2 linked regions of the Yarrowia lipolytica genome follow. The protein of the gene in region 1 binds, or shares a complex with, the protein of each later gene. Links are inferred from orthologs where the notes say so. Each region holds a gene or a part of one and is shown on either strand. Other genes may lie near its edges.

The links. The genes of interacting proteins can lie anywhere in the genome.
Region 2: the proteins of YALI1_E14489g (region 1) and YALI1_E01904g are in contact, whole or in part, in a cryo-EM structure (PDB 7AD3), measured with the Saccharomyces cerevisiae proteins. The link is inferred for Yarrowia lipolytica from reciprocal best matches to the Saccharomyces cerevisiae genes GPA1 and STE4. Residues at the interface, in NP_011868.1 of Saccharomyces cerevisiae: Thr7, Gln8, Thr9, Ile10, Asn20, Lys21, Ala23, Asn24, Ile27, Glu28, Ser30, Leu31, Gln32, Glu34, Lys35, Asp38, Lys43, Thr301, Gly302, Ile303, Glu305, Leu318, Arg324, Ser325, Glu326, Lys329, Trp330, His332, Cys333, Phe334; in NP_014855.3 of Saccharomyces cerevisiae: Asn85, Gly90, His91, Asn92, Lys94, Ser104, Gln112, Asp113, Phe115, Leu117, Ala122, Ser123, Leu125, Lys126, Gln127, Asn128, Ala129, Gln135, Trp136, Leu138, Leu154, Asn155, Asn156, Arg168, Cys182, Tyr183, Asp224, Leu226, Ser248, Asp272.

What each region holds. Positions count from the first base shown.
Region 1 is NC_090774.1:1,443,786-1,454,463, forward strand, and holds YALI1_E14489g (uncharacterized protein), read right to left. Parts: upstream 5,101-10,678; coding exon 3,868-5,100; downstream 1-3,867. Other genes in the region: YALI1_E14451g (uncharacterized protein), read left to right, coding at 1,293-2,237; YALI1_E14469g (uncharacterized protein), read right to left, coding at 2,621-3,166; YALI1_E14497g (uncharacterized protein), read right to left, coding at 5,567-5,962; YALI1_E14505g (uncharacterized protein), read left to right, coding at 6,738-7,484; YALI1_E14535g (uncharacterized protein), read right to left, coding at 7,824-9,710; YALI1_E14555g (uncharacterized protein), read right to left, coding at 10,512-10,678. UniProt on the Saccharomyces cerevisiae protein: Alpha subunit of the heterotrimeric guanine nucleotide-binding protein (G protein) that mediates mating pheromone signal transduction.
Region 2 is NC_090774.1:184,344-195,042, forward strand, and holds YALI1_E01904g (uncharacterized protein), read right to left. Parts: upstream 6,063-10,699; coding exon 4,920-6,062; downstream 1-4,919. Other genes in the region: YALI1_E01865g (uncharacterized protein), read right to left, coding at 1,694-2,188; YALI1_E01877g (uncharacterized protein), read right to left, coding at 3,025-3,393, 3,461-3,544; YALI1_E01885g (uncharacterized protein), read right to left, coding at 3,605-4,213, 4,277-4,378; YALI1_E01935g (uncharacterized protein), read right to left, coding at 7,641-9,209; YALI1_E01947g (uncharacterized protein), read left to right, coding at 10,427-10,699. UniProt on the Saccharomyces cerevisiae protein: Implicated in the a- and alpha-factor response pathway. The beta and gamma chains of the putative yeast mating response pathway G protein play a positive role in initiation of the mating response.

The sequences.
Region 1 (10,678 bases):
AGATCTGAGGGGAAAAGAGACTTGTAGTGAACTACGAATATCATCGAGTAGTTGCACCTTTTTCCTTATTGGTGGTTTGGTATCCAGACCCACCAAGGTACAAGTATGTACCCATATGGTACTTGAAATGGCGCATCCAATGTCTCAGAAGACAAGGTGCTGTACAATTACGAGGTGCATCTCACTTGTATCGTATGTACTCGTATATATTCAGGCTTATACCACGGAGGTAAGATATCATGTACTGGTAGACCGGCTATTGTTGCTGCATCAATGTTTCTTTCTCCGAGACATCACACGCTATGAACTGAACAGTATGTACTGATTGTCAGCTACGGACGTGATTGGGTGACAGATGTCCTGGAAGCTATTCAACTAGGATAATATGAGAGATGTGAATGACATGACAACCAGGTACGAGTACATACCCATACAACAAGTGTGCACACCGGGATACCTTACATGACCATGAGATAATGAAGGCGGAATGTAGCATAACTAAGCAGATCATCTCAGTTAGAGTGCACTGTGCGGATCTAAAACACTTTTCAACCTCCTTACACCCCACTCTACCCTGTCTCATTACTCCAAAGATCGACATGAAAGACAGTTGACAACGTCGATCCCCCCACAATATGGCTACTCAACCATCTTTGCGAAGATACTGTGATTCTACGAGTACTTGTACGAGGATGTGGTGTACAGTATCGTACTACAAGTAGGGTCAATGTCCCCAAGTCCGTGTTTGCAACTTTGTAGGAGCTGCAATAATAGTACAGTATGTACTGTACAGTAACAATGAGCTATTTTTTATAATAAAGAATAACAATCAATTTTTTTTTTTGCATAAACTTTTTATATAATGTAATAATCACTTCTAACAAACGCACCAAGTAGGAGATGTAGGCTTGTCAAGTAATTACTTATTTACTCAAGTTAGACACAGTTCATCTATACACTATCAGTGTTTTCGATAGACATTTACTTTCGCCGGTCCAATGGAAATACCATCGAACTGATCAAAGGCTCTCTATATCCTTGGTTCCTTGGTTCTCCACTCTCGTAGCTACCTTCAGTGTACAGCATTATCTCAACCCCACCCCACATACCTCCGATAACGTGCACCGAAACCTAATCCAATTTGTACTCTTCGCTAAAACAAGTCTCTGTAACACGCCTTCAACACACTCACCAGCTTGCTACACAAATATCGCTAGATACCACCGACCCATTCATTCGATCAGTGAGATACCACCGTGATACAAGTTGATACATTGGTAGACTCCGCTGTCATGGACAATGCTACGATGACATCGTATCGATCCGCGATTGATCATAACCATTACGGGCAGCCTGAAACGATACCTCTGGGCGTGCTACAACCCTCCAGCAACAGGCTCAACTGCAAGACTGCCGAGTCTGTATACAAAACGAAACCGCAGCTCAACTCGGCTCCTATCAACCAACCCTCGCTTACCTCGACTCGATGGGACGGAAGTGCAGTCATGACCACGGCGCAGAAGATGACGAGCCCCCAGTACGTGACCTATGGTGACGGAGTGGACCCCGTAGATCTATCAACGAACTTCACCAGTATGGACAACGACCCCGGGCCTACGAGCATCTGTATGGTCAAGCCGTCTGATTTGCGCCAAACAAGTGTCTCCAAGTCGATCATGGAGCAGTACCGTAGCCAGATTCGACGGGAAAAAGAAGCAGTCGAAGAACAGGACTACTCCACCATAAGAAGCGTCACGTTTCACCCTGTGGAAGACTTGCGAATCTACGAGCCTCTAACTGGAGAGCATTCGGAGAACACGTTCTTCCCGTCTCCGGGATCGGGATCCAAGGTCCCCAGACGACTTGAAAATGGTGCGGCCAGAATGGAGCAACAGGGCTCGCATCTCGAAAACTCCCTGTTCCTGAGCAAGATGTACCGCTCGCCTACCCCGTTGGAATCATATTCGCCTGTTCACATGCTAGAGTATGGGGGGAGCATCCATTTGGGTGACAGTGGCTGGGGTCCTTACGGCAACAAGAAAAGCTACACTATGAAGAGCACTGCTTCCATGCCACGTTATATGAAGGATACCATTTCCTATCGAAACAAGAAGCGTTCCAAGCACGACACCCAGAATGGAACTGAGAAAGGCACCAGAAAGGGTCAGGACCGTGACTCCGCTAAAGGGGTGGGTAGAAAGGCCAAGCGTGATTTATTGGATTTTTTCCGGAGATAACACGTCCTATGTAGACAGGGTAAATATGACTTGGTCGAGAGAAACAGTTACGCGGAAGGGGTTGGTGGTTGGGGTTGGGTGTAGTGGGTATTTGTGAGGGGGTGAGATTGTTGGGCAGACAATGATATTGCCGTTGTAGACTTTCTTCAATTATACATGGAGCTTGGAACATCGATTGCCTGTGATCTCTCAACTACGGAAATGCAGATAACGATTACAATGGCACTTGATACCCATATGGTATCATTGTATGAGTATTTTGACATGTACGTAATTCTGACATGGACAAAGATCGACTTTTCCAACACCATATGTAGAACCTCATACTACACACTCAGTTCTGCACTCATTCAATCTAATCAAACCATCTATTATCCTACATGCTAATCCTTCTTGAGCTGCAACTGCTTGACCTGCTCCTCGAGGTTTCGGATGGATCCGTTGAGGGCGATGACGTCGGCAATGATCACGTTGTTGGCTTGTCGGTACTGGTCCACCAGGTAGGAGTAAGCGCCGAAGCCGGTGAGGGTGGTGCCGAGCAGGAATCCGAGCAGAGTTCCTCGCACGCTGGACTTCTTTCGGGGCTTGAGCTTCTGGGCAGAAGAGCCGATGGTAGCTCCGGCCTGGGCAGCCTTAGCAGTGGCCTGGGCACCGGTGGAGGCTCCCTGAGCAGCGGACGACACGTTGGAGGCAGCGTTGGAGGCAGCGTTGGCGGCGTTGTTGGCAGCGTTGTTCACGGTGTTGGCAGCGTTGTTGGCAGTGTTGGCAGCGGCGTTCTCAACAGCAGCGGTCTTGGCCTGGGCAGAGTAGTTGGCGGCAGGCTGGATCTTGGTGGGGGCGGGAGGCACAGCGACGGGGTGGGGAGCGGTAGAGTAGGCTCGGGTGGCGGGTCGGGCCACTCGGGTAGATCGGGCGATGGTTCGGATCATTGTGTGATTTTTTGTGTATCTCGTCTCGTCAGACTCCTGTTCTGTCTCGGGCTTCTTTCACTTTGCTAATGTGCTGTGGGATGTTCGACTTTGAGTTTTCCCGTTTGGGATCTGCCCTAACCACACGAATGGCGTCCTGTGATTGGGTGGATGTTTGTAGAATGACGGGGATCATATTTCTCGACGCCAAAGCTGCTCAATTGGAGAGCTATTGAGAGGAATAGATATGACTTAACTTGATTGGGGCTCGTTGTAGCTATAGTGGTGCTTTAAGAAGCTGTGTTTCAGGGTTGTACTGCCTCCCAAATGCTGAATAAGCCTATGAGTGATTTGCCATGTTATAGCGGCTACGAGCCGGTGTAGAGTGCGTATAATCACGTGACCCACTAGATAGATACATTTTCATAATTAATGATCATTTAATCACTTGTCTGTCGGTTTTTTTTGGTCCCAGGTATCTACGACTTAGCTCTTGTATCCTACTGTAGTTGCGTCGACGCACTGGTGTTAGTTACTGTAGAAGAAGATTAAAGTAAAAAATCAAGTACAGTTGAAGTACAATACCGAAAATACTCGGGCTCGGACATACTGCACAACTGTACCATCACTGTAGCAAGGGATAATATCTCATGCATTTCGGTCAAGTTGTTCGTATACATACATGATTAGTAATATCTAAAAACGTCCTTCTCCTCTCCCCCCTAAATAATACCCGTCTCTCTTAGCTGGGCAGACAAGACCATGTCTGTCACGGCGGCCATGACAAAACGCATGTTCTCAGTGTCCGTGGCACAGGTAAAGTGGACGTAAATCTCTTTGGACGGTCCGCACTTATTTTGGGCCAGAAAGAGATTCTTAAAGAAAGCCTTAACCGCAGTGACTTCATTTGGTCCATTGAAACTAGGGAAGTATTTGCGAACAGGCGATTTCTTTAGCTTGGCCTCCAACAGATCGCATTTGTTGAGAAACAGAATGATCGGCTTGTCGATGAACGTTTTGAAGTTGCAGATGTAGTCAAACAGGCAGATGGAGTCCTGCATTCGGTTCACGCCAGAGTCCTCATACAGAACCTGGTCGTACTCCGACAGTGCAACCACAAACAGCACACTGGTTACGTCATCGAAGCAGTGCATCCACTTCTTACGCTCGCTTTTTTGACCTCCTACGTCAATAATGCTGAGCATCTGGCCGCCCACCAGAAAAGGGGTTTCCGAAACACCTGTGGTTTTGATTCTTCCCCGGATGACATCCTCGTCTGAGGCCAGGTAATAAGGGTCGGCAAGACTGTGCACATTGTCAAAGTAGTATGACGCCGCATCTTCCAGCTGATACTCGTTTGAGCGGGCAAAACATTGCTTAATTCCTGTATCTTTAGTCCATAGCTCTGAAATGGCGTGTGCAATCTGTGGCCGCTCGGCTGGCGACACCTTGAGGACATTGTCGGCAAACTTGAGCGGCGAGTCTGTATAAACCATGGGAAGATTCTCACCCTCCATAAACCTCCTTTGGCTTTTGATGTCTTCATAAAGCGCATCCCAGTCAGGCATAGCGGAGTCGTTGGGGTCTGCATTGGTGAGCAGGGTCATATGACTGTTCAGAACGCTGTGTGGATCGTCGCAATCCAAAGAAATGCCCAAGAACCGTGCCTGGCGCACAATTTCCATCATCTGGACGAAAGCCTGCTCCCACATAACCTGAGCATACAGACTGCGTTCCTGATGGGTGAAGCCCTGGCCGTGGATGAGCTTCATTTGTTTGAGAATGGTCGACTTGCCAGACTCGCCGGTACCCAGAAGCAGTAGCTTGGGGGGTTTGGAGTCGTCAAACGATCTGGAGCTGCTTAGTTTTCCGACTCTAAATCGCATATTCTCTTCAATCAGTAGATGCTGGTCATGTTCAGCCCCGTACTCGGGTTTCGAAGGTACACATCCCATTGTTCGGGTGGTAGGGGCGTTCAGATAATTAAGTGGTCGCGGATGGCTTGAGATGTGTTGGAGGAAGTTGAGGGGGGTTACAGCGCCATAATTATATGTTGAGCCGAAGACTCCATTCACTCTGCCTCATTGATATCCTCTTTGGGATGTGGGGCTGAATGAAGTGCTGGTGGATGCACTTGCCGGGGGTTCCCTCGATTGGAGGTGGTCAGGTGACGAGAAGAGGATCAAACATGTGATTTTAAGTGACACAATACGGTCCGGCTACATATTCAGTGGCTACCAAACCCACCATATAGTAGTTGCGGCCGTAGGGTATTGTCATCGTGGTTCAACCGTCAGTGCAAGAACATGCACCCCCCCACCTGCACTCATGCACCTTCTGCCACATAGAGAACTCTATCCTGAGAACTTGGAGTCATACTTCAACACATCTATTCCATGATATACTGTAATACTTTTCTAACTAAAACTTGATGACAAAAGCTCCCTCAATGTCCTCCTCATCCTCGTCGCCCTCTTCTTCTTCTTCCTCGTCGCCTTCTTCCTCGTCGTCTGAGTCGTCATTGTCCTGGTCGTGATCGAGCTTGGCCTTCTTTTTGCCCTCATGCTCCAGATCTCGAAGTTCTCGTTTGTACTCATCCAGCTCCTCCTGGCTGCCCTCTAGGCGGGCCACAGCATCGTCAAGATGGCCCTTGTACTCGTCGGCTTCAAGCTGGGCAGCCTCGACCTTCTCCATGGCCTCGTCGTAGTTCTCCTGATTGCTATCAACCTCCTCCTGCTGGTCCGGAATCACCTCCTCCAGCCCCTGAATTTGGTCCTTGAGATACAGAGCATGTTGCTCCCGGTCGTGTTTGGACATCTGTGGTAGAACCGGTCTCGTCTCGTTCGTGCATTCAGGCAACTACACCTTTGGAGGTTTTAATTGCTCCCGCCACGTTCCTCTATCGTTAACCGGGCTCTCACACCATCAATCGGCTTTATACGGATCTATGCTGCCGCTATACGAAGGCCTAAAACCTATACCACCACTGTGCTACCTGTAGTTGTGCCCATACCGGTACACCCTCCGCTAGCTACAATGCTGCACCAGTAGGTCTCTTGGGTCGCATGTGACGTCATGGCGCAGTGGAGTAGTGGTAGTGAGGATGTCATATGTTTCACGGACTTGTATCAACCTCCATACCAATCACGCTCACGTCTATAACCCACTCAGTAAACGCTACAGTAACTTGTCATCGCCTTCTGACATGCCCCAATGCCAAGTCCCACCTCACAAACGGCACCCAAAACAGCCCCAAAACAGCCCCAAAACAGCCCCAAAACAGCCCCAAAACAGCCTCTAATAAAGACCACTCTAAAATAGTATATGCTGCTTGCTGCTGTTGGGTGAGCTAGCCGAGCCGCCGAGTGTCATCCTGGCATGTCATGAGGGATAAACGGAAACAGCTACTTGGACACGCAATGGGCCTGGGGGGGTTTTATTATTCCTCCGCTTACATAATCGTCCATTGCTCATTGCTCCGAAAGAACAGATCGAACCTTGATTACACGCATACATATGAAGGCACAACGTTTCTGACGTACAATATCTGCTTCTTGATCACTCCTTCACACAAAGAAACATCAAAAAAACAATGCCCAAGGTCATCTCTAAGAACGAATCGCAACTGGTCGCTGAGGCTGCTGCCGCTGAGATCATTCGACTCCAGAACGAGTCAATTGCTGCCACTGGAGCTTTCCATGTTGCCGTATCTGGAGGCTCTCTGGTGTCTGCTCTCCGAAAGGGTCTGGTCAACAACTCGGAGACCAAGTTCCCCAAGTGGAAGATTTTCTTCTCCGACGAACGGCTGGTCAAGCTGGACGATGCCGACTCCAACTACGGTCTCCTCAAGAAGGATCTGCTCGATCACATCCCCAAGGATCAGCAACCACAGGTCTTCACCGTCAAGGAGTCTCTTCTGAACGACTCTGATGCCGTCTCCAAGGACTACCAGGAGCAGATTGTCAAGAATGTGCCTCTCAACGGCCAGGGAGTGCCTGTTTTCGATCTCATTCTGCTCGGATGCGGTCCTGATGGCCACACTTGCTCGCTGTTCCCTGGACACGCTCTGCTCAAGGAGGAGACCAAGTTTGTCGCCACCATTGAGGACTCTCCCAAGCCTCCTCCTCGACGAATCACCATCACTTTCCCCGTTCTCAAGGCTGCCAAGGCCATCGCTTTCGTCGCCGAGGGAGCCGGAAAGGCCCCTGTCCTCAAGCAGATCTTCGAGGAGCCCGAGCCCACTCTTCCCTCTGCCATTGTCAACAAGGTCGCTACCGGACCCGTTTTCTGGTTTGTTTCCGACTCTGCCGTTGAGGGCGTCAACCTCTCCAAGATCTAGATGTATTGAATGGATGAGTATGATAGAACCAGTAAGGTAAATGTGAGCCGTTGACTCGAAATGGCTTGCTTGTAGAGATCTGATAGATATAATTAAGCCATTGACGAGTATGACGTTGTATTCATCTGAAGTTGTATTCATCTGAAGTAGCTACACAATCTTGCTATTCTTTACACTCATAATTCATTATTTTATATACAGTCATTTCGTCGGTTATTTGTCGTAGGTATTTGTCGTTTGCTCGTTTCGTTATTATCGTAGTTTATTCATAGCATGTATCGTCAGGTCGTGTTGTGTTGTAGTTGTAGTTGTAGTATTGGTCGTGTATCATATCGATCTTCATTCATCAAGAGTACCGAGGGCAGCATAAAGCGAATCAACGTCAACTTTTCCATTCCTGGTGCGCAGCATGCTCACAAGAGTGCCGAGAGAAGAGTTGGCAAATCGGGCATGGCCACTGAGAATGTTGTAGGCGTCTGTACAGGGCACCAGGACGGGAGAAGAGGACTCAGCACAGGGCCTGGCAGAAGTTTTCAACACAGTGCAAAAGAGGTTAGCCTTGGGGTCCTTAGCACACAGACAGGACGACAGATCTTCTTCGGTGACCGAGACCTCTGCCATCTCGTTGGCCACTTGGTCGACGGCGTGGTCTGTAATCTCAATGACTTCCGGCTTGTCTGGCTTGAGGGCACTAGAGCAGGGCTTTTCAGCTCCCTCCTCTTCGTCAAGACCAGCACAGAGACAAGGAGTGCCGTTGGAACAGAACCCACAGGGATCCACCTGAGGGGAGGGTTTATCTACAAAGTTGCTGTCCACAGGACTGTTGAGACTAGAGATGGACGGTGTTCGCGAGATCTTGGCGACTTGGGTCTTTGAATGTTTGCAATCGGGACCATGGACGTGTACAGGCTCAGGAACAGGTGGAGTCGTGGGTTTGGAGCCAAAAGTCTTTGTAAAATCGATTTCGTTGGCTTCAGACACGCGCTTGAACCGCTTTCGGATTATCATAGACGTCCCATTTGAGGCAGGGCGCTTCTTGAGGGGAACAGCAGCAACAGGCTTGATTTCACTGAGATTGACGCCGCCAACAATGTACGTGTTTTGGTCCTCAGCTGGAAGAGGTGCCTTGAGTCCCAGGGTATCACAGAGACAATTTCCTCCAGTCTCACACAGTCCACAGTCGTCGGGTTCCTCGTCCGGTTTCATTGGCGTGATATCATGGTGGTTATGTTGATGTTGATGGTGATGATGGCCAGTGCTGTTATTCGCAGTTTGGGCACCTGGGGTATCGTCAGCAATGGTGATGACCGATTCTCGTCGTTTTCGGGGCGGTCGGGCTTTGGGGAGGATAGCTACTGGTTTCTTTTCGTTTTCGTTTTCCTTGTCCAAGTTGCTCTTGCGTTCCTTCTCCATCTCTCTCTGTTGCCGTGCTCGTTCTGACATGGGAAACATGGAACTTCTAACAGCCAGCGGGTTGGCGTCGACGAAGCCGTACAGAGATTCGCGCGAGTCCTGGGTTTTGAGTGCCCGTAGCATTTCCACCTCGCTTCGCAGCTCTTCAATCACGGCTCTGAGTTTGTTGTTCTCGGTGTTGGAGTTTTGAAGCGCCGCACGTAAGTCATTTTCCACCTCGTCGTGTTCCTGTTCCACCTCCTGCAGTTTGTCCTCCAGCTCCACGACCCGGGCTGCTCGTCTTTCTCGAAACGCTCGCTGAGCAGCTCTGTTCTGGGCTTTGCGTTTGGTTGGCGGTAGGTCGTTGGACGGCTTTCGGCCGGGTTTCGGCCGCGGAGGAAGTACCCATTCCTTGGAGGTGACAATGTTAGTGATCTCCGGCGACACGCCGATGGAGTACGACATGGACGAGTTCTGCGAGAGCATGCCCATGTCCAGGTCGTCCTCCATTTTCACATGGCGCGGCTTGAGCGCAGATACTGGCGGAGGAGATGAGGACGACGAAGACGAGCCTAGCCGGGGAAGTGGTCGGGGCTGAAGCACCGGAGGCGGTCCGTTGCTCTGGATCTGTGGCTGCGACGCCTGCGGTGTTTGTGCCACGGGCTTGAGGGCCAGCTTCGGCGGTGCCGACTGCTGGGTTGGAGGAGCTATCGGCCGAGAAGGAGCCTGCTCGTTTGAGCGCAGCTGCGGGTGAATGGCCAGCTGTGGAAGCGCATGATGCGGTCCGTGGGACGGTCGCACCGGTTGCGGCTCTATCGACCGTATTGGCGTCATGGCAGCGGGTGTGAAAGAGTGTTGAGGTCGTGGTCGATAACACTGGTGTTCTACGCTAAACCAAACTGAAAAATCCTATTGTGCGTATTGTGGGATGCACGGGTGAAAAAAAAACACAAAATTCAGACGACCCAGAATGTGACTATGCACTGCACACTATATAAATTTACTCTCTACCAAGTACAGCTAGTAGGGATACTCGGACGGCCGCCCACAATACAGGAGAAAGACACGTTGCGGGATATTTCGGATAGTCGTTTTAGCGTTGATTATGCACTCAGATGGTGGGGTGGAGGGGGTTGTTGATCGATCGAGGAGCCAATGTGGCCGTCTAGTGTTTCAGCATGGTGCGGCGGTCATGAGATGTCGAGCGTACAACAGCACATTGCGCTCATGGTTGCTCACCACCGGACCAAGTTTTTCGCTTCTTTTTGCCACCTTGCTGTTGTCTTGCTTTTGCGGTATATTTGCTTAGACGGATCGGGTGGAAAAGACGACGCTGAGAACCAAGAGATGGAGGTGCAGCTGACACGCATGTAGATTATCTAAACCATCTGCCAATGGGAAGGGCACGGGAGAGCCCGGGCCGACCAGAGACAGAAAGAGAGATAGCCAGCAAAAGAAGCAAGTCAGCAACTGCGTAAAGAGACGTTTCAGTTTCAGAACTCAGTAGGGTTCGAGACCATGATAAGCTTTAGATAAAGCGAGCAAGAAATAACACCGAGATGAGGCCAGGCTACAAAAACTCGTTTATAAGTTGGCTACTTGTAGAGAATTAAGCAATGATACAATAAAAATACATCAGTTGCACTTGCGAAGACCATTCACATTGATCCAGCAGGAAGGACCATAGGAAGGGCCCGCGGTGACAATATGAGGATCGCCAGTGGCATGTATGTTCTGTTCAGCCAGACCAATGCGGTAGTCCTCAGGGTCAAAGTACACATAGGCGGCTCGGAAGAAGGGAA
Region 2 (10,699 bases), about 1.3 Mb from region 1:
ATACTCAGTGGTTGTAGAGTGTTGTATGAGTATGTACAAGTGTCTGCGTCACTAATCAAGGATACCTACCATGCCACTATGATGTTTGCAGGAGGTGTACCTCGGCAGTCATCAAAAAATGGAACTACTGGCTTTAGATCTTGTTGTATGGCATCGCGCCTAAAAAAGAAACCCCCTTCCAGCGAGCTACTACAAGTAGTTGTAGTTGCGGGCGTTGGATACCGAAAGTCACAAGCACATGTCGAAGCTCTCATCTGAAACACCGACAGTCGTCTGCACCCCGCAAGTCTCGGTTCGTACCAGCACCAATGTTAGGCAGAACTATACACAAGAGGGCGGACGATCACTTCGGCGTTAGGCAACTGAAGGCTATTTTCGGCTGGTACTGTAGGGGACAGAGGAAACGCAAGTGATTAGTAAATCGGATAATAGGCCTGTTAGTTTACCGAAATGGTGGGGGAGGGGTTCCGTGGATATCTTGAAGTTATGGAGGCTGATCGTTATTTGTGGGGATGGATATCATTGTATGGACATACTGTAGCTACTGTATAAACAACGGATCTTACACCTGCCTCTTGTATGCCCATTGCTTGATCATCTATCGTGTTACTGTACATATACAATAGATATAGGGAAGAAAAGCCGGAAGTAGAGACCATAGTCTGGCAGAAGTAACGGCCTCGGGTCGAGAGAACTATAACAAAGTCCAACGGCGGGTCTTAGAATAGCCCCAAGGATCACACAGTTCCGCAATCCAGTTTCACATGTTCCGTTGCATGGACTTTTGCATGTCTACTGTTGCTACGATTCCCCCATTGCAACCACAGTTTGGGGTTACCCCGCATTATATTAGCATGATTACGAAAGAGATAAGTATCATATGGAACATGTGAAGGGTAGTATGCAGGTCCGGCGGAGAAAGAGAATGACGTTTTCATTAAGCGATTCGCTTGGCGGCTTGTGGGGGATGTGACGATACTTACGGTAAAGACCCTGTGTGAGAGCTGGTACTCGCTCGTTACTTCGCTGATCTGTTGGGCCGTCAATCGAATCTCGTGGAACTTGCATTCTTCTTAACTGTGTCTATACAAGACACCTAATGAAACATACAAGCTACCGAAATCATTTTACTCGTACTGACCGGTACGGTACTTGCACAAGTAGTGAAACTTCCGAAAATAGCCAGCCTCATGCATCATCGCTTCACCCCTTCTGTTGACCTCAAAAGCATTCCAACGGTAAAAAATTATAACGCCGCCAACTGGATGGTTGTGACGGCGTTGACCACCAATGTGTGGGGGCTGGCGGTAGGACCGAGCTTATTCGTCCCAATAAGCTCTTTGGATTTGATTCTTTGGGGTGTGTGGTAAAATTCACATGGGGAAGAACACGGTGGCAGTTTGAGGCAGAGGCCCAGCGTGTAGTTCCTAGGGCATGAATATACCGAACTCATGGCGCAGAATTGAGCTGAATGCGCAAAAAGCTACAGGATCAACCGCGTTAGAAATGCCGCAAATGTCCACTAATTCCCCGGACTGTTCCAAATGATTCTGTGGGGATAAATCTCAAACTGGGTTAGGCTTTGTCACGTTTCTTTGTGTCGTGTCGGTTCGTCCGGGGCAATGTGCCCACGCTTGGCTGTCTCCCTACACCTCGGTAAAAACTATCACATGCTGCCCCTCTCGAGCAAGCATTAAATGCATATAGTCAATCTAACGACATATATATAGGTAGGGTGCATCCTCCGGTTTAGCTCCCCAGAATATCTCTTATTCATTACACAAAAACAACAATGTCTCTCAAGGTCGACGGCTTCACTTCTTCTATCATCTTCGACGTCATCCGTGACGGTCTTAACGACCCCTCTCAGGCCAAGCAGAAGGCTGAGTCCATCAAGAAGGCCAACGCCATCATTGTCTTCAACCTCAAGAACAAGGCTGGCAAGACCGAGTCTTGGTACCTTGACCTCAAGAACGACGGTGACGTCGGCAAGGGCAACAAGTCCCCCAAGGGTGATGCTGACATCCAGCTCACTCTCTCTGACGACCACTTCCAGCAGCTCGTTGAGGGTAAGGCTAACGCCCAGCGACTCTTCATGACCGGCAAGCTCAAGGTTAAGGGCAACGTCATGAAGGCTGCCGCCATTGAGGGTATCCTCAAGAACGCTCAGAACAACCTCTAAGCGCATCATTTATTGATTAATTGATGATTTACTATATTGATTTCGCAACTGTAGTGTGATTGTATGTGATCTGGCTCGTAGGCTTCAGTAAATACTAGACGGGTATCGTACGTAGTTGTATCATACATCGAGCCTGTGGTTACTTGTACAATAATTCGTAATGTAGAGATACCCCTTGATCCATTGCCTGTTTCTAACATACAATGATCTCCACGCAATAATCCCACTCTTGACTAAAAGTTGCTACTCTTGCACGGTTACCTCGGCATAGTCACGCCTCTCTTGTCTCGTCTCGAACGCACAAAGTCAATTGACAACGCCACTCACTCGAGTGTGCCCCAACAGGGCACCATATCGACTAATTTGAGGCCAACTAGGGTGATTTTGGATGGAATTTGATCGGAAAAAATAGCTGCAGAAATTCCTGGAGAGAAAAATTGACCGCATCCACATGGTTTGACCAAAAAATCGTCTCCATCTCTGTGCTCAACTCTCCTGACGAGATATGCGCGCGCACCCCCACATGATGTGATTGATCTCAACAAACTTCACCCAGACCCTTATCTTTCCGGAAAACTTACTGTATAAGTGGTCGTGCGAACAGAAAGTGTGCGCACTTTAGGTGTCTAGATCCGATTGTTCTCGTTCTGATAATGAGCCAGCCCCGCGAGGCAATGTTTTTTACAATTGAAAACTTCGTTAACCACTCACATTACCGTTTTTGCCCCATATTTACCCTCTGGTACACTCCCTCTTGCATACACACACACTGCAGTGAAAATGCACTCCGTTAGCACCGTTGTGATTGGTTCAGGGCACGAGTTTGGTGGTTTAAGGCGCAACTACATCAATATGAAAACAGGAGACGCTGAAAAGGGGTAATATCGGACTGCTGCTATGTTGTATGTACTGCATGACGAATTGGTGTTATTCAAGACCGTGGCACAGGTTGCTGCGGTACGAGACCTGGTAGCTTCTCTAAACGGCATGTCTAGGTGGACGAGTATGGAGAAGTTAGGTACAGTACGTACGTATACGAGTACGAGTACGAGTACGTAGTACGATACAGGGTACGTAGTACGATACAGGGTACGTAGTACGATACAGGGTACGTAGTACGATACAGGGTACGTAGTACGATACAGGGTACTTGTACGAAGACAACAGTAGAGTGCAAATATCAACCAACATGGCCAGAGCGACCAGTTCAGCTTTCAGGGGGGCCTCTAGCACTTGTCACCATATGTAGCCGTGATAATTATGCAGTGATGTGATAACTACTGTACAAGTAGAAGTAATCCGGTGGTGCTGGTACCTTGAATTGAGTCTCACTATCGGTTTCAGCAACACCAAGGACTTCATAGATAGTACAGGTTGAAGCCAGCTGCTGGTATTCCACCAGCGTCTAGGCCGTCGTCCCCGCTACGCCACCTTGTTGAGTAAATCACTCAGACCAGCATGCACCTTGACGTAGAACTCGTCGTCCTTGGTCATGCTCACGAGATTCTTGGGTTTAGTAAACGCCTCTCGTCTGAACGAATCGGCCCAGTCGCTCTTGTCCTTCATCTCCTGATGCTTCGTCACCTGTGTCTTGATCCATCCTCCCATGCTTTCGAATCGCTCGGTGATGGGAATCCAGTTGTCCATCAGACGCTTTTCTTCCCCCAGACAGAGAAAGCCGTACTTTCGAATCCCACCACGAGACTCGTTGTCGTTCACCTTGAACACGTAACCAATGGTGGCTCCAGATGAGTCGCCAAACATGAGAGGAGTATCCGAGAAGGTGGTTTCACTACTCAGCAGCTTGAGACAGGCCTTTCGAACCTTGGAGTAGTCATCCTCCCCGACGGCACATTGAGAAGACACGTATGTGTGCTCGCCAATATTAGATCGTAGAGTTGTGGCATCATTTGGCAGGATCAGCTGGCAATTTGCGCACGTCGAACACTCGTTTGGTGTGGTCTCCTTCGTTTTCTGACAACACAGTATCGAAGTCGGGCCATGCAAGTCGCAGAAATGTGCAAAACAGAGCTGGTTAGTGCTTGTTGTGTTCGTTGCAACCCTTAGGAAGCCTTATCCTCTCCCCATACTCACCAGTAGTGCCATGATTTGGTGCAAAAAGGTGTTGGTGGATGCGTTAATGAAAGTTGTTGTTCTGCACGTCTGCCCCAGATTAAGAACTTTATCATGACCCATCACAGCAAAAAAAATTGACAAAAAATTAGCGATGCCTGGTTTCGATCCAGGGACATCAGGGTTATGAGCCCTGCGCGCTTCCGCTGCGCCACATCGCTGGGTTTTTTTTAATTGAACTTTTTTTAGAATCTCCCAAGCTAAAATCAGTGTCACGTGACCCCTTAAAACTCAGATTTTTGAAGTGCCATTATGTCATTTAAAATGCAATTAAGGGTGGAAATGAGTAGACAGGAGTGCTAAACCGGCAATTCTTTATCTGGTAGGAGGGCCTTTTTTATGATAATTTGGGGGTTAGGTCAAATTCGATGCGTCGTTATGACATCTAAACCGGGTACAAGTAGCTACCTAAAGAGAGTGTGTTCCAGTGTTGGTCAACAATGGTATGGTACTTGTACTTGTACTTGTAGACAATTAAACCAAAATTATACCACCGACTATCAAGCGCAGCACACACATAGACATGCACCTTCTGTAGCCGCTTCATATTATTTCTCATATCGGGTTGATGTGATGTTATTACTGCATACACGTAGACCTCCACTTACAGAGACAGAACTGTCATAGTTTCGTCCCAAGAAGAAGATAGGACACCCACTCCGTCTGGGGAGACCTTTACTTTGGTAACAGGACCAAGATGCTTCGTGATTGGGCCGAGGTAGGTGCATTTGATGGTGTCCCAAGCTACCACTTCACCTGTGTCATGGCCACAGAACATGATCCGTCCTGAGGGTGTTACAGCCACCGAGTTGACAGGAGACATTATGTCTGGGGCACTATAAATGTTCATTTGGCAATCAGTTCTCATGTCAAACAGTCTTGCAGTTGAATCGTCACCTCCAGAGAGAACTGCATTTCCATCGGGAAAGAAGTCCACTGAAGTTACATCCTTATTGTGCCCCTGAAAGGTCTGGACACATCTGGCGATTCGGAGATCCCAGATCTTGACTGTTTTATCGTTGGAAGCCGTGGCGACAATCTGCATCTTAGAGGGGTGTTTGGTCACAGAAGAGACGTCTCCTAGATGGTCATACAGGGTCGAAACACGTCGGCCTGTATTGACATCCCAGATGCAGCATGTCATGTCTCCGGAGGCTGAGATGATCTGTTGGTCAGTCAGGAAACACAAGTCCGCCACATATGCAGAGTGTCCCTTGAGAATGGCCATGGGCTCGCTTTTGGTAAGTCCCTTCATTCTGGTCGACGACCCTGAACCGTAGGGAACAGAAGGGTCTGTCTCATCAGCCGACTGAGTCATGGAGTGGATTGAGACCCTGTTATCTAGACCACCCGATGCCAGGTAGCCACACGAGGGAGGTAATGCACAGGAGAGCACGTAGCAGCTTGGAAGAAGGAAGACTCTGGACTTTAGAGACGAGTAGGCGTCCCACATGAGAGCCAGACCGTCCATAGCTACACTGAGCACATATTGTGAGTTGGAGGCCCAGTCGCAGCTGTTTATCTTGCCTCTGTGTCCCTTGAGTTTGTGTCGCACCTTCAGGGGGGTTGAACTGATGGGCCGGAGGTCTGTGGCAAGACTTGGAAGGGTGGCATTCATAAATTGGCTTCTCTGATGAACAATGTTCTCTCTCATGGCGGCACATTTGCCTTTGAGTAACGACAGCCGCTCATGGAGATCTTCAACGGTGGGGGAGGGGGGAGTATCTGGCCGGAGAATATCTGTCATTTTCGCGCGTGGATGAGTTCAAGTTGGTTGCAATTTCTAGTGTGGGGGACTCCACCATGCAAATACCAATTCGTGTCTGCCACATTGATTCCCCGTTATAGCTGCGTGCATGCTTACTGCATGAGCTCTGCGGAGTAGATGCGGAGTAGATGCGGAGTAATATACAATATACATATAGCAAGGCGACACAAGGAAGGGCCACAAACGGAACACCCAAAAAATTTACATAAGTGGGTCTTCAAATAATAAAACGTTTGGCAAATATTATCATTACTGTGCTGATCAGGAGGATAAAAGTATAGTTTAGTTGGCATGAAAATATTGTGTGTGTGTTATCGTGTGTAATTATCTCGTTGAGCCCCACAGATGCTCCACCACTTGACTTGTTCCTATAGACCAGATATGGTCAATTGCCGAATATGAAGAAATTATGCAGGGTTCGAAGATGGGAGGTGCAATGGGACCACTTTTTATCAAACGGCCCCAACAGCAACGAAGGAGGAGACTCAGCTGTGTAATCTACCTTTATGATCTTCGCTCTGTAGACTCGCTAGTATAAGGTACCGGGTAGACGACGAGTATGTATACATGTATACATGTGCTTGTCACCACCAATCTAAAAGAGCTTGTTGAAGTGACGGTCAGGGGCGTATGAAGATGGTGAAAATGACGTTATTTTATTAGAATGCGGAGGTTTGTGCTTGCTGTAGAGAACCGACCTCGGCCTATTATCAAGTGCAGCTTCTCACACACACCTGTAGATCCCACTGGAGTCTCTTCATGGTTACAATTCTCCAAGGGGTGGAGGAAGCGATTAGGTGGAGTAGATTTACACAATTTCCTGCACAAATGGCACTCTGAGCTGCTACGATTCGGACCGTCAAGTGCCCATTACCCGATCAGACCTGCTATTGTGTTCTTTTCAACTTTTCCAGCAACACCACCGCCAACTTTATCCGTTGATGTAACACTGGCAATTTGCACATTGGAAAAAGGAAAACCATACTGCAGCCGGCAAGCTCAAAGTCACTACTTGTACCATTGGCGCTTCTCTCGGCCGTTGTAACAGCTTAATGGAGCCATCGAAGGGCCGTAGCAACTCACAGGCCAAGCCTATTCAAGATTGACACAGAGCAAGGTCTTGTTATGCGTTCTGTCGAGGTGAAACCAATATTTTTTGACAGCCAAAAATAGCGGGCAAATGCAACCAATTAATAGACCCTGGAAGTCTTCATGCTTGGCCTTGCACACCTTAATCTACACCAACAAGATTCTCTCATGTAATGAGACAAAAATATTTTATACGATCGTCAGTGAGTCAAGGCAAGTTATGGTATAGAGATGTAGAAGTAGTCCCACAGTGTGTACAGGGCCCGACATTCTTCACCCTCCAAGGTACAACATTGGCCTTGTACTATGTACTGTACTGTACTCAGGAGTAGCCCAAAGGAAACGAAAAACAACCCTATCGCTGTGTTCCTGCCGTATTCCATCTCCCCGCGCCTATCAAACTCGGTTGATCGTCGCTTCTTTGTTAGGTGAAAAATCAAGGGTCTATGTTTAAATAAAAATGATGGCTTATATAGAGTGCGTGGGCGAGACTGCTCCTCGAATCCGCTCCTGCTCTTCACCTTGGACACCACCACTGAGCACCACATGCGGCAAGATCTTGTCCAAATGACACCACGTGTTGAGAGGCATTCGGTACATGGCTAGCTTCTCCGTCAGCTCCCGCAGATACTGGTACGTCCAGTCGCGCTTCTGCCCATTGAGCACTCCGAGCACGTGGAATGAGTTGGACGAGTCTCCCAGCGTCACCTTGGAGTAACTCCTGTTGTTGGTGTCGACAAACATCTGACCAGTGATGACAGGGGTGCGGGTATCGAGCAGGGGCATCAGCGAAAAGTCGCGTCTGTACGACAGGTCTAGCCTGGTCTTACCAATCGGCACAAATTGAGAAGATGCATTCATGGCCCATTCAACCAGCTGGTTTCGATACAGCAAAAAGAAGCGGTTATCTACTATGAAGGGATGATGCTGATGTTGCGGATGCGTGGGGCCATGGGGGGATATCGTTGAACAGAGACGGAACGTCTTACTGTTGGCCCAGTCAACCCAGAAGAAGTCATTCCGCTTCAACACAGGGTCCTCAAGCGAGTTGGAAATGCAAATAAAGGTGTCGTGGCCGTACACAAATACACGGGCGGACTCGGAACACGGCATGTGTATGCGAATAGATTGTGTTTTGATGTTATTCCGGCGACCTGGAGCAATGCACTTTTGTCGCAACAGCTCGTATTCCTCACACAAGCCAATGGAGCCGGTACTGGAGTCAGAAGTAGAGCCAGCACTACTGCTGCCCGAGTGACCCAACCGATGCCATTCCATTTCGGGAGACATGCCTGGAGCCAGTTTAGTGGAGCGTAAGCGAAGCAGAGCCGTGAGATATCCGTCGTACATGGCCTTGGACACGTGGAAGCGGCGAATTACACGGTCATCCTCCAGTATATTTCTAACTACTCTCCAAAACCACGTTTTGCGGGCGTAATTGAGTTCTTGAACACCGTCTACCGGAGGGGTGTACACATTTGATGCATAGTCGCCATAGGTTTGTGGATAGATGGGGAAGTTGTGGGTGAAGACAATCTGGCGGCGAAAGCACAGTTTTGTTTCGTATTCGTCGGATATTGCTCGGGATATCGACAGCGTTCCGTCAGGGAAGATGTCTGCATATAGGCTTGCTTCGGGTGCGAGGTTGTGGTTGATGGTTTGGACCGGCTCAGGCTCCTCGGCGTACTCTACTAACGGCAGGGAGGCCAGTCCGTCTGTGGGAGAGGTCAGATCCAGGGCGTCATGGTAGGAGGTGTGGTGGTAGTCGGCTTGGTGATGGTGTCGTGCATGTCCATGCATGGTGTCTCTACGACGCAGTTCGGCCATGGCGAGGGAGAGCCATCCCGCTGCGCTGGACCCGTCGGCTGGTTGCATCCATGGTGCACAGAGAGCCCTGGCGGCGGTGAGAGCGTGGGAGCTGTTGTCGACTGCTTCTCTTAGACAGCAGCACGAGTTTCGCAGGTTGTGGAGATCTTCAACAGAGGTAAAGGCGAGAATCACGGCTATGGTTTCTGGAGGCAGGCTGAGCAGGGACATGCCCAGGAATCGGTGCGTGCGAGAGGTTGGCGGGTGTGCAGCTTCGACAAGATGCTGGAAGAGGTGGTTGGTGGTAGTGGAGCTAGTATGGCGTTTTGTTGGCCGCACAGTATAGTCTAGCTACTGGTAGACAGTTTTAGATATGCAAAAACTTTGAACTGTTTAACGGTGCATTACCAGTAGCTACTTGTATGGTCTCTACAAGTAGATTTGAGACGAGTGGGAAATGGGTTCGGCGGTCCCCGACAGTTGCTGTGAAGCTTATGTTCTCCGTGGACGGTGACCGGGGTCGTTTGACTGTGTTCGCCTGCACATAAATGTCTCGCTTGTCTGCGACTCCACATCTCATCAGGCTAATGCCTAGACTCGAAGCTAGCCATTGTTGAGCGGCACCCAGGGTTGCAATCATCATGCGGCGCCACCCCGTATTATATATAGTCTTTACCGTTATGATAGGGTGGCGACGGTACCAGTGGTGTAGAAGAGGTACAGTAGCTACAGTGATATGTCGATGGGCTGATGAAGTGGCCCAACAGGTGCATACTGTACTCGCACCAGTGTTTCGTACCTACTGATATCTGCAAGTGCAGATGGTGTCTCGAACATTGAGCAGCACCCCCCTCAGAAGCTACTGTAACCGCGGTGTCTCAGTATCAATAAGTAACATCAAGCTATCGATCACGTGATGCAGGGGTTGCAAAGTATGCTGATAGGATGTAGTGTACCAATGTATACAGTAACTGCGACCAACAGCCGTTAGAACCACACGGCACCATTTACTCTGCGGGATTACACAGATAAGTCAGCTGATCATGTCCATAAGGGCAACCATAGCCAACAGTAGCTAAGAAATAAACAAGTCAATTACAACTAGCTACAGGCAGTAATACTCTTATGCCATGCGATATTGCGATTGTCTAAAATTTCAGTATCTCCTGCTTTTTATTTTCGCCTCTCGCTCACGTCGTACAGGTCGTATTTCCGACCCCGTAAGGTATCCCAAACTCTGGGTCGTCGCTTATCTCGTTCTAGGTGGTGGCAGAGTTTACAGCCTGTGCATGAGAGAGGCACACTATGCGCACAGGGAGATGTAATTAAAACTCATCTGATCAAAACAAGGGTTTATCTCGAGACCGTCTCAGGAGCCCCCGGTATTCCACTCGCTCAAATCGTCGATCGTTACACATCCATCCATTCGCTTCACCATTCGTTAGGCCATGCAAATCACCCTAACACAACAGGGACTGACACTACAGTCTCAAAACGGCACGAGATCACTGCTTGATTTCGCTACCAAATCTCTCACCACACTCCAGGACGATACGGACTCACAAAATGACACAGATGGAGCCTCGGTCGATACAGAAAGCCCGTCTCTAGAGTGCCTGGGCATTTTTGGCATCTTTCCTATTGATGTGCACTCGCTGGCAGTCATCACCAAACGAGAACAGGTTGCTACTCTGCAAAATGCTCCCCTCTACAAGATCACC